3 linked regions of the Caenorhabditis elegans genome follow. The protein of the gene in region 2 purifies or fractionates together with the protein of the main gene of each other region. This does not show direct contact. Each region holds a gene or a part of one and is shown on either strand. Other genes may lie near its edges. The genes, in order: smr-1, sftb-6 and Y94H6A.2.

The links.
Region 1: the proteins of sftb-6 (region 2) and smr-1 fractionate together in Caenorhabditis elegans (co-fractionation; one large-scale study listed by BioGRID). This does not show direct contact.
Region 3: the proteins of sftb-6 (region 2) and Y94H6A.2 fractionate together in Caenorhabditis elegans (co-fractionation; one large-scale study listed by BioGRID). This does not show direct contact.

The regions. Positions count from the first base shown.
Region 1 is NC_003281.10:1,141,345-1,145,837, reverse strand, and holds smr-1 (Tudor domain-containing protein), read right to left. Parts: upstream 2,667-4,493; 5' UTR 2,649-2,666; coding exon 2,523-2,648; intron 2,445-2,522; coding exon 2,367-2,444; intron 2,302-2,366; coding exon 2,205-2,301; intron 2,137-2,204; coding exon 2,012-2,136; intron 1,659-2,011; exon of another isoform or gene 1,570-1,658; intron 988-1,569; coding exon 694-987; 3' UTR 627-693; downstream 1-626. Other genes in the region: acsd-1 (2-amino-3-carboxymuconate-6-semialdehyde decarboxylase), read right to left, coding at 2,988-3,161, 3,655-4,020.
Region 2 is NC_003280.10:96,382-99,465, reverse strand, and holds sftb-6 (Splicing factor 3B subunit 6-like protein), read right to left. Parts: upstream 1,063-3,084; 5' UTR 1,056-1,062; coding exon 907-1,055; intron 841-906; coding exon 573-840; 3' UTR 505-572; downstream 1-504. Other genes in the region: luc-7L3 (Luc7-like protein 3), read left to right, coding at 1,524-1,619, 1,665-1,919, 1,970-2,224, 2,285-2,407, 2,659-2,711, 3,070-3,084.
Region 3 is NC_003282.8:2,728,452-2,732,978, forward strand, and holds Y94H6A.2 (DUF4781 domain-containing protein), read left to right. Parts: upstream 1-1,840; coding exon 1,841-1,847; intron 1,848-1,902; coding exon 1,903-2,186; intron 2,187-2,302; coding exon 2,303-2,428; intron 2,429-2,484; coding exon 2,485-2,613; intron 2,614-2,660; coding exon 2,661-2,905; intron 2,906-3,450; coding exon 3,451-3,666; intron 3,667-3,718; coding exon 3,719-3,953; 3' UTR 3,954-3,971; downstream 3,972-4,527.

The sequences.
Region 1 (4,493 bases), on a different chromosome or scaffold from region 2:
CAAAAAGTCAGTTTTTTCAAAAACTACAGTAATCCTACATTACCCCGACCTTATCCCCCCACTAACCCCAAACCAATATCCCTTGAAAAGTCAATTTTTCCCAAACTACAGTACCACTACAGTACTACTACAGTACCCCGACCATATCCCCTCGAAAGACGAAAACACTTTTTTCCAAAACTACAGTATTCCTACAGTACCCCTACAGTACCCCGGCCATATCCCCCCACTAACCTCAAACCAATATCCCTTCAAAAGACGAAAAGTCAATTTTCCCAAACTACAGTAATCCTACAGTACCCCTACAGTACCCCGACCATATCCCCTCAAATGACAAAAAGTCAAGTTATCCCTAACTACAGTACTACTACAGTACCTCTACAGCACTACTACAGTACCCCTACAGTACTCCTACAGTACTACTACAGTACCCCTACAGTACGCCGACCATATCCCCCCACTAACCCTAAACCAATGTCCGTTCAAAAGACAAAAAAGCCAACTTTTCCCAAACTACAGTAATCCTACCGTACTCCTACAGTACCCGACCATATCCCCCGACACCTGAAACGATCCACCATGTCCGAAAAAAAGTGTTTTTTGGCATTTTTTCACAATTTCCGGGAAAAAATCGAGTTTTTATTATATCAAGAACACAAAAAAAGTACAGTAAAATCGGATATACAAGAGAGCTCAAAAAAGTGAATCCATAGCTCCACGGGTGGCTTTAAAAATGAACTGAGAGCTTCTCGACGAGACGATCGTTCCTCGCTTCTCTCCGCCGCCGCCGCTGCTGCTCGCCGAGCCATCCTGGCTTGATCCTGTCGCCGAAACCTTCTTCAGGCCCTTCAGACCTTTCGCGTTGGCTTTTGTGTTGAATTTTTGCCAACTTTTCTTCTCGCCATCCTTTATCGAGTCGAGCTCCTTCTGTTTTTGCTGTTTTTTGAGCGCTTTTTGACGTCGGCGCTCCTTTTCTGCTTGCCATTCCTGGAAATTTGAAAAAATTTGATTTTTTTTTTGAATTTTTCAGCAATTTCCAGCAATTTTCATGCTAAAATTCAAATTCTCCGCTTAATTTTACCCCAAATGGACCTTTGTCAGGGCCTATAGCTCAAAATTTGAATTTCGAGGGTTACGGTAGCGCCAAAGTACGCAAACACCGCCTAGGCACCGAATTTTACGAAAATTTGCATAAATTGGCTGAAAAACGGGCTACGGGGGTAAAAAGTGATGGAAAAGTCGATATTTGGGCTGAATATCTGTGAAAATTACGAGTTTTTCGGTAAAATTAAAAATTTGGGCATAGCTTCCGCATCTCCGAGTGACAAATGTGCTTTATTGTCAAATTGTTGGCAGAAATACGGTATTTACCTACATTTTCAGCCAATTTAAGACTGAAAATGTAAATAAAAACAGTTTTTATGCCATCAATCCGAGTAGAAGCACATGAGTCACGGAAATATCGATTTTTGGGATTTTCTAGAGATTTAAACTAGAAATTTTGCGATTTTCAGTTTAAAATCGTTTTTATCGTCTATATTTGACATAAAAATCCAAAAAAAATCGATGAAAATGGCTTAAAACCATCATTTTCAGATTGGTGGCCTAGAAATCCCAAAAGTTAGGCCACCAATCTATTTTGTGCAAAAAACCGATTTCCAGGGGTAAAAATGAGTGAGAAACTCGATTTCCAACTGAAAATTTGAGAAAAATCACTTTAAATGTGAAAAATCAAGATTTCTGCATTTTGCCGTAAGACTTGTGGTGTTTGCGTACTTTTGGAGCTACAGTACCCCGGAAAGTCCAAAAAATCGATGAAAATTTCACGAAAAAAGCCGTTTTATCCGGAAAAACGTCAATTTCTAGAAATTCCTGCAGAAAATAGTCGATAAAAGCTGAAAAAGTGTCAATTTTTGGTGATTTTTGCGATTTTTAGCTCAAAAATATTGCAAAAACGGGGTTTTTCTGGTTTTTTACAGAAGAACAAGGAATTTTTTCCATTTTTTCCAACCTTTTTGCCGTGTTGAGTCGATGGTCCGGCCGCCGACTTTGTGTTATCAAATGCATAATTTTTTCGCTGATTTTCGGGCGGGAGTTGGAGATCAGCGGGATCTACGATGGTTTTCGTGCCGGTAGCTGAAAAAATACGAATTTTTGGTGAAAATTCACGATTTTTGGGCTAAAAATCGATAAAATCCCCCTACATGTGAAGGTAATAGCCACTCCGGCGGGCGTAAGTGAGTCGATTCTGGCGAAAACCTTTTTTCCGTCGGGATGTGGGGCGATAACTCGTTCGCCGACCTGAAAAATCGATTTTTAGCTGAAAAATTGGCGAAAATCGGGGTTTTTTCGCTGAAAATCCGTACCGTCCACTTGTGAATCACTTGCGGAGCCACCACAGCCCTCTCTGATGATTCTGCCTTGTCGGTTTCCGCCAAATCTTCCTGAAAATTGGAAAAAAATCAGTTTTTATTGATTTTTTTTCGAAAATTTTGCATTTTCTCCGCTTTTTTTCACACTACCTGCAGCGAAATAATCTCCCCGAGGTCTTCCTTCAACTTGAGAAGCTCCACATTCGTCGGATCGCCGAGCAAAGCCGCCTCGACCTGCTGGAGCTGAAGTTTGTAAGAGGCGAGCTCTTCCTCCATTTTTCCGCTATTTTTTCACTGAAAATGCTGGAAATTGGCAAGAAAATCGAGAAAAACGATGAAATTTGACTGAAAAATGGCAAAAAATCAAGAAAAATCAAGAAAAACCGGCGAAAATCCGGCGAAAATCGATGAAATAAAATGTATTTTCAAAAAGACGAGAAACGCGTCAGCAAAATCGAGTATTGCGCCAGCAACCCCACTCTTGCGCATTTCTCGTTTTCGGCGGGTATTTGAATGTGAAAACATCGTTTTTCGAACAAAAAGTCTAAATTCTTTATTAAAAACCAATAAAAACCCAACATGTCCCAATAAAAATCAATAAAAACCAAAAAATGATCAAAAATCCTTATTAAAAAGCAAGTTTTCATCGATATCCAGCATTTTTACAGCGTTTTTCCACAGCAAATCCTCCCTGTCCTTGGCAGAAAATGGCTTATACTCTTCCACAACTCTTCCAACTTCAAGCTCGCCAAGCGGAAATGGGTAGTCGGTGCCAAGCACTATATGCTCCTGAAAAATTGAGAAAAAATGATGAAAATTGACGGATTTCTCGCGAATGTCAAGTTTTTTTCGAAAATTGTCGCTTCGAGACCACAAATTTCTTGATTTCAAGTTAAAATTTGAATTGAGCAAGTCAAGAGCTTCAAAATAAGCCCCATATCAACTAGTTTTCGTCAAGTTTGACAGATTTCGCAATATTTCTTGGGTCTCGCCACGAAAACTTGCCTCAGCTTCTGCAAATTCGTGGCAGGACCCAAAAAATTTGAATTTTTGAATTCAGCACATTAACACCTTTCATTTGACACCCATCTTGCCTAGGTTTTCGAAATTTTGTGAATTTTGGGTGTCGCCACGCGGGGTACTGTAGCACCAGTTTCAGCTGTGTCGAAACAGGAAAATTCAAAATGAACGTAGCATAGTCATGATGGGCGTCATTTGAAAGCTGACGACGCGGGGAATTCGAATTTTCTATCTAGAACTCTCTAAAATCAAAATTGCACACCTTTCCAACGGTATTTATCAGCAGTTCGAGAGCTTTTGGGTCATGAACCAAGCTATCCGTCCACAGTAGCCCATCGAGCTTATTCGGAGCAACTTTACACTTTCCAGCACACAAGTCTGGCCTAACATTCCATCCGTGAGAAACTCGGCCACGAATCTGTGGGTAGGCGCCGCCCCCATGTGCAAAGCAGAGCTTCAACTTGGGGAAGAGCACCAAAATGTTGCCCATGAGCACTGAGCAAATGGCTTGAGCAGTTTCAGATGGCATTCCGACGAGCCATGGCATCCAGTATTTGTCCAGCCGCCCGTCCCACATGTGCATATCCCAAGGATGCACAAAGAGCACCACCGAGAGCTCCTCGCAAATCTGAAAACTAGATTTTTGATTTTTTTTGATTTGAAAATATTTTAGCTGGATTCGTCTCGCCGAGAGCTTTCAAATGACACCCATCATGACTATAATCAGGCGATTTTGAATTTTCTAGCTTCGACACAGCTGAAACTAGAGCTACAGTACCCCGCGTGGCGAGACCCAGAAAATTAAAATTCGACGTAACCTAGGCATGGTGGTACTTAAATTAAAGCTCTCGATGAGCTGAATTCATTTATCTAAGTTTTGAGGGTCTCGCCACGAAATTCACAAAATTACTGTAGCTTTGAATTTTTGAGAAATTCGAAAATTTTCGAAAATCTATAACTCCGTCAGTTTTTAAGATTTTTGAATGAATTTTGTTTTACAATGTAGGAAAATTATATTTCTGTATCTTAAAAATGTTATGCTCCAGCTGGCTACTGTAGGTACAGTACTCCTGGGGTTTTTCGTGGCGAGACCCCGATTTT
Region 2 (3,084 bases):
GATTTTCAAAATTCAACATTTTGTGCCAAAATCTCGACTTTTTTACCAAAAAAGTTGAATTTTGAAAATCTCAAAACTTTTTCAGCGGTCTCATTATGAAAATCAGGTACTTTTAGCATCTAAACATCATATGTATCATGTTTGGGGAAAAGTTTGGGTTTTGTATTCCCGTAATCCATCATATTACATTGACCACTTTCACCGCTACTTGCCGGCTGAATTCACAATTTTTTCATCTGGAAATTATTTTAGCATTAACAAAAAATATTTATTTATCAGTTTTAATAAGAAAACACGGGAAAAATCGGTGAAAAACACAAGAAAAGAAAGCAAGTAGAAAATGTCGTAAAATGCGGTGTATTGTGTGCAAACACCGATTTTTCGCATTTTTTCTCACCCCTCGTTCGAAAAAAGTTGCAGTGAAAACTACATGGGAAAGGCTTCTAGAAATACTTCTCAGCTACTCTTTATACTTTTTTCATGAAAAGTTCAAAGAAAAATAATCACAGAGAAATTATCATTCATTGAAGGTTGAGGGAAATGATAAAATAAGGTTTAAAGAAACACGATATTTAAATTCTTCTTGGAGTGAACAATCCCAACTTCTCCTTTTCCTTGTCGATGTCTCCACCAATTCCATATCTTTCTTTGATATCTTCAAGCTTGGTACGAGCCTTTTCCGTGTCCATTCTCTTCCACGCTTTTGTCGCTTGATAATAGAGCACCACAAGATACCGATTCGAAACGTTATAGCCAGACAGATGTTCGCAGGCGGTTTTCGCATCGAATATGTCCTCGTAGACGACGAATGCAGTTCCGCGAGTTTCTGCAGTGTTTCCGCTGAAAAATCAATACTGGTCGGGCTTCTTCAAGAACAGGCAAAACCATAATTGTGCTTGAACTTACACTCGAATTTGCCGAACTGCTCCGAATTTTCCAAAAATCTCGTACATCTCTTCCGTCGTGATTTTATACGGCAAATTTTTAATATAAAGAATACGATTGACCTCTGGCGGCAGCTTTGCGCCACGGTTTTGACGATTTGCCATTGCCATTGTGAATCTGAAATTGAAAATTTGAAGAAAAAACGTAATAATAAGAGGCAAAAAGAGTCTCGAAAGCAAATTAAATTTTATAATTCGAAAGATTTTAGCCAACGACACTCCGAAATTCCACAGGGAATTCCACGCGCCTTGTTTATTCATCGAATTCTTTTTTGGTATTGTTTACTGAATTTTCTCAACATTTTTACTGAAAAATGATTCGAAATAGAAAATTCTATTGAATATATTTCATAATAATAATAAAAAAGTCGATAAAATAGTGATCTTAACGCGTTTTCTCAAAGGAAAATGCACAACAACGACACTCCGAAATTACGCATGCGCACTTTGTTTACCGTAAATATACACTAGTGTTTTTGCAAACAAACTTTTGTTTTTTTTCCGGCGAAACGATGTTTTTTTCTGTTATTTCAACCGATTTTTCTCTCAAACTTTCAACAAAAAATAAATTTTACAGTCATGTCGGCTCGCAACGCTATGGCAGCAATGCTCGACGAGCTAATGGGTCCCAAACGGAATGTTGAACTAGGAAAAGACACAAAAGTCACATTTGATGTAACTTAAATTTTTTCCCCTGGAACTATTGATAGATTATTACAGGATCCTGACATATGCCCGTACTTCCTGGTCGGTTTCTGTCCTCACGACATGTTCATCAATACAAAGGCAGATTTGGGAGCGTGCCAGCTAGTACATGACGATAATCTTCGAAGATTGTATCCAGAATCTCCAGAATATGGACAACTTGGCTTTGAAAGACGTCTTATGCGGTTTCTCGTTCAATTAGATGAAGATAATCAGCGAAGAATTCGAAAGAACAAAGACAAATTGTCCGGAATGGATGATAGTGGAAAGGTAAACTCTTTGAATCTGAAAAAAAATGTCGAAAACACGCAATTTTTCAGCGAAAGTTAGAGGAAGAGAAGCGTCAGGTACAATTGGAGATCAATTCGATAGATGATGTCCTGAAAAATATGATACGAGACGCAGAGCAAGCCGGCAGTGAGGGAAATGTGACAAAATGCCAGGAAATAGTCGCGAGAAGCGAGATGGTTGAAGCTGAAAAACGAGGTCTTGAAGAGAAACTTTCACAAATGAACGAACCGAACCCACAAGCCATGCCACCGATGCTTGACGAAATGGCAATTAAGCCAATGGAGGTAAATCTAAAAATCTAGAAGATTTAGACTGATTTTTATCCAAGAAAAATACAATTACAGGTTTGTGAAGTGTGTGGGAGCATGCTCATCGTGAATGACGCTCAACAGCGTATCGAAGAACATTTGACTGGAAAAATGCACACAGGTTTCCAAAAAATCCGGACTATGATTCAACAGCTTAAGGTAAATATGCACACGTATATATCATATTTATATATGCTTTTACTATTAGAAAATGGGCTCTGAAAAACGCTGAAATCTCTCAAGCACACAAGCTGACGTACAGGTATTCCCCCCAAAAAAATGGTTCAGGTTTTTTCACCCTCCCACGCCTTTTTACGTGTCATGGCTCAAAGAGCAGGTATATTTGACTGGAAAAAACTGGCAATATGTAGACGAATTTTTTCGCGGAAAATAAATTTAAAAAATTTCAGGAAAAGCTGAAGGAGTTTGAACAAGCCGAGGAGACTAAAAGAAAAGAGCGGAGGTACTAGCAATCAGGGGTGCAGCCGAAAAAATTAAAAAAAAAAATTTTTTTCGAAAAAAAAGTTTTTTTTTAAACAAAACCGAAAAACGACAATTTTCGGATTTTAAAACTTCTTTTTCGATTTTTCTGGAAAAAGCGAAAAATTTTCGATTTATCCATTTTTTTCAAACCGAAAACCGTAAATTTTTCGATTTTTGAAATAACCACAAATTTTTCGATTTCTTTAGAAACACCGTAAATTTTTAAATTTCTTTGTTGTAAAAACCGTAAATTTTCCAATTTTTTGGTTTTTTAACTTAAAAACCGGTAGCCCTGCTCACAATAAAATTTGATCAATCAGAAACTGAAATATTTTCAGAGAAAAACGTGCTGA
Region 3 (4,527 bases), on a different chromosome or scaffold from region 2:
AGTATTTGAAAATTTTCTGTATCGACACTGGCGCCTAGAAAAAACCTTTGAATATTTCATGAATTCAACTTTGCGAAAATTACTCAGTTTTTTTTGTCTTCACAAGGTGTAACGACCCACAAAATCATCCGAGCTTAATCTTCTATTAAAATTCTTGAAAGTCAGATCAAAACGTTCCCCGAAAAATACTAAAATGAGTTTTCCTGCATACTGCTGCCGCCGCTCACATCTATCTTTCTGGCGACTGTGTCATTCAAGGCTTCTATGTCATTCAAACTACTGCCACAGTCATACCATGACAGAACTTTTTTGGATTTTTGTTTTCAAAGAATCTCTAGACCAAGAGCATTCTTTGAACTATAAAAACTTGTAAGATACTTGATGGGTTCCTCGAAAAAAAAAAAGTAAAAATCCCGCAGAATGCCGACTTGCGTGCCATCAAGAACGTGATCTCAAAAGTTCGGAAAGCCTGCAGCGATGCGGTTAGGGAAATTTTAAAAATTTTAAACGTTAATCTGGTCAGTATTTCATGGAGATCAAAATTTATACAAATTGATGTAATAACTCTCGCCACACGTGAAGTTACAGAGCTGCAAACGTGTTACCATACTTATGGCGCAGAAGAAAAATCAATCAACAATAACTTTATTTAGGATACACCTGCAAATATCCAAAACGATTTACGATCATAGTTTTTTCCCAAAAAAGTCTTTTCGAAAAATCCCTCAATCAAGGCGCCGGGTCTTTTTGAATACTCATTTAAGTACCAGTTCACCGGTCCGAAAAAGATAGTAGTGTTGCGCCGAATGATCAACACAAGTCCACATTCATCGCCGAACCGTTCGCAAAGCTTTTCCGCATAATCTCCTGGAGATTCTTCGAAGGATGCTCGATGCAACACCTCCACAGTCGTAGTAAGTACAGTGTACCGCATTTTCTATATTAGTCGCCACTACCATACTTTTATAATGTGTTTAACTGAAGACAATTAATGTTAATGTTAATGCAATATGAACTAATACGGAAAATACGGTATTTATTTAAAGAAAACACCATTAATTAATTTAAATCAATATTCAGCATTCATGACCTTCGTGAGTACGTGCGTGGTCTTCGCGAAACGTTCGGCGCCGAATGTGGCTTTGTGGGGATTATTCGAAAACATAGAAACATTCGCAAACGTTGGGTAAACTGTGACCCAGACGATTATCCCAGAGGACCCGGTGACTGTATTGAGAGATGTTTCAAGGGCAATGGTTCTGACTTTTTTTTTGGTAGTGGCGACTTTTTTCAGTACTGGTACGGTCAAAAGTTTGAGATAATTGCTGGTGTTCGATGAATATTTGTAGTTTTTATTCAAAACCGTTCCATTGTAATAAAAACTACGACATTTTATCTTTTTGCGATTTCTTTTTTTTTAAATAAATATTTTATCTAATACCTTCAAGGAAAACTAATGTATCTTTTACATGTTTTTTGTGAATAAATCTTTTCTTTCTTTTAAAATCTTTTAAAAAAATCAGAATTTATAGTTTAGTTCTTTAGTTCGGAACTCACTTACTATGCCAAAAATCGTGTTCCCTAAATGAGTCACTTGGTACTATTGACATATTTGAGTATTTTCAACACATAATTTTCTTTGACATTTTTGCCCTTTCCGAATTTTTATGAGGAAGACGCTAGCATTCCTGATAAAGAAAATGTCAGTATTCCTCATACTTAGTTCCACAAGAAAAATGGCATGCGTGTAATGTGTAGCACTAGAGTATAAAACAAGAACAGAGAAAAGAAAGATAAGACATCATTGCTTTTCTATTTGGAGACAGTTATATATTTCAAGATGGCTGGTAAGATTCTATTTTTAAAATAATATGAAATTGAATCGAATTCTCAATTTTCCAGCTGTAAACTACACGACGGGATTTATTTCGGTGGTCACTGGCTGCCTAGGAGTACATGGGGCTTATGCGTCCGCCGCAGTGGTTCCGCATTTAACTGCGATTTGTGCATGCGGTGCTATAGTTAGTGCATATGTTACGATGGCTGCATACAAAGATGACAAATCAACGGAGCTGATACTCAGCGAGCTCAAAACGCTCGACAAGAAGATTGGGGAACTGTCACATAAGATGGACGCGTTGTTCGGTGATCTTAAGTCATTTATAACAACGTCTCACTTTTACATGGTATGTTCGGAATAGATATTGGTTCAAAGTGTGGTTACGAAGCCTTCTGCGCAGGAAAAAAGTTAATCACGACCCTTTTTAACCTTCACCCTTTACCCTTACTCAAAATTTTGCAGAATGAGGTCGCTACAATCAAAACGTTGATGAAATACATGCAGGATACGATGAACAATCCTTGTAAATACACAAAAGAGCTATTTCGTGGCGCTGTGACGGATAATAAACCTTTGTGGATTGCAGAGGTAGGACTTATTAAGGAATCACAAGATTTCAATGTTAGACAGCTTCAAATTTCCAGCAAATGATTATAAAACTCGACCAGGAGGAAACGAATCCTCTCAAAATGGCAATGAACTGTGATCCTCTTCGACCAACGGAAACTTTTGAAAAATGGAGAAAAATAATCGACGGAGTGCTTGCCCAATGTGTAGGTACTCACTACATCCCTCACTAAATAAAGTGTATCATATTCAGCTGATTTTGGAGACGTACCAGAATGGAATGTTTTGCGATAAGAACATGATTGGACCGAGTCGTTTAAAGAAGCAAACCGAAGAATTACAACTGAAAATGAATAGATGGGCTGAAGAATACCGTCAAGATCACTCGTACTGGGACGATGGAGTCTTAAGTTTAATCCATAATGTGCAAGACAATAATGAGGGAAGTGAAAATATACGAAATATTTTGACTAAAGAATTGGGCAAGATCATGACAAAGTGAGTATTTTTGTAAATTGACAAGGGACATAAAAGGGTAATTGTGTATTATAACTTTACTTTTTTCAAATTAAATTATGACCGGGGTAGCAATTATTTTATCTGTTAAGTTATTTAAAACGTGAATAGTATTTCCATTATTAGGCTTACAAAGGAAGTATTCCAATTTAACCCCGGTCAATTTAGGCACTTTGAACTGGAAAGAAGTCGCTCTGAAAAATTTTCAATGCATTTTTCACGATTTTCGCAGCCCGTAAAATTCCTCCAAATGTTGATTTTTGCAGATTTCTGATGATTTCTAGGCTTTTGAGGGCCAACCAATTTTTTTCTGGAATTTTTTTAATTTGTGAAAAAATATAAAAGATTTTGGTCCCGAAAGACCAAAAAAGCCAAAAAATCTGCGTTTTCCGAAAATTTATTCAAAAAAAGACAGCCCTGCTGTGAACGTCAGTAATTTTTCTCACATCCACTTACAAATGTAACCATTTTTTGCACACCATATCGCAAACAGTCAGATTTCAAATTGATTTTCCAAAATATTTCAGCCACAAATTTTACGTGATCGTCTACGATTTCTGTGACGGTTCATCTGAGGAGTACCAATTCACTTCATACAGCTATTTCAAACGCAATTTTAAATCTTCTTTCAATCGAAACGGGTGCAATGCTTTTGTTTTACGAAGCCTCAGAACCCAAGATTGCAAAAGGCACGAGGAGAACCTTCAAAGAAAGCTGCAAGCTGCCCTTCCAATGGAATACGAGTTTGTATTTTGCGGCTTAATGGCATAACATTTGATCCAAACATTTTTTCAGCTACAGATTCAAATTGATTGATTATGCGGAAAAGCTTTGCAAACGGTTCGGCGATGAATGTGGACTTGTGTTGATCATTCGGCGCAACACTACTATCTTTTTCGGACCGGTGAACTGGTACTTAAATGAGTATTCAAAAAGACCCGGCGCCTTGATTGAGGGATTTTTCGAAAAGACTTTTTTGGGAAAAAACTATGATCGTAAATCGTTTTGGATATTTGCAGGTGTATCCTAAATAAAGTTATTGTTGATTGATTTTTCTTCTGCGCCATAAGTATGGTAACACGTTTGCAGCTCTGTAACTTCACGTGTGGCGAGAGTTATTACATCAATTTGTATAAATTTTGATCTCCATGAAATACTGACCAGATTAACGTTTAAAATTTTTAAAATTTCCCTAACCGCATCGCTGCAGGCTTTCCGAACTTTTGAGATCACGTTCTTGATGGCACGCAAGTCGGCATTCTGCGGGATTTTTACTTTTTTTTTTTCGAGGAACCCATCAAGTATCTTACAAGTTTTTATAGTTCAAAGAATGCTCTTGGTCTAGAGATTCTTTGAAAACAAAAATCCAAAAAAGTTCTGTCATGGTATGACTGTGGCAGTAGTTTGAATGACATAGAAGCCTTGAATGACACAGTCGCCAGAAAGATAGATGTGAGCGGCGGCAGCAGTATGCAGGAAAACTCATTTTAGTATTTTTCGGGGAACGTTTTGATCTGACTTTCAAGAATTTTAATAGAAGATTAAGCTCGGATGATTTTGTGGGTCGTTACACCTTGTGAAGACAAAAAAAACTGAGTAATTTT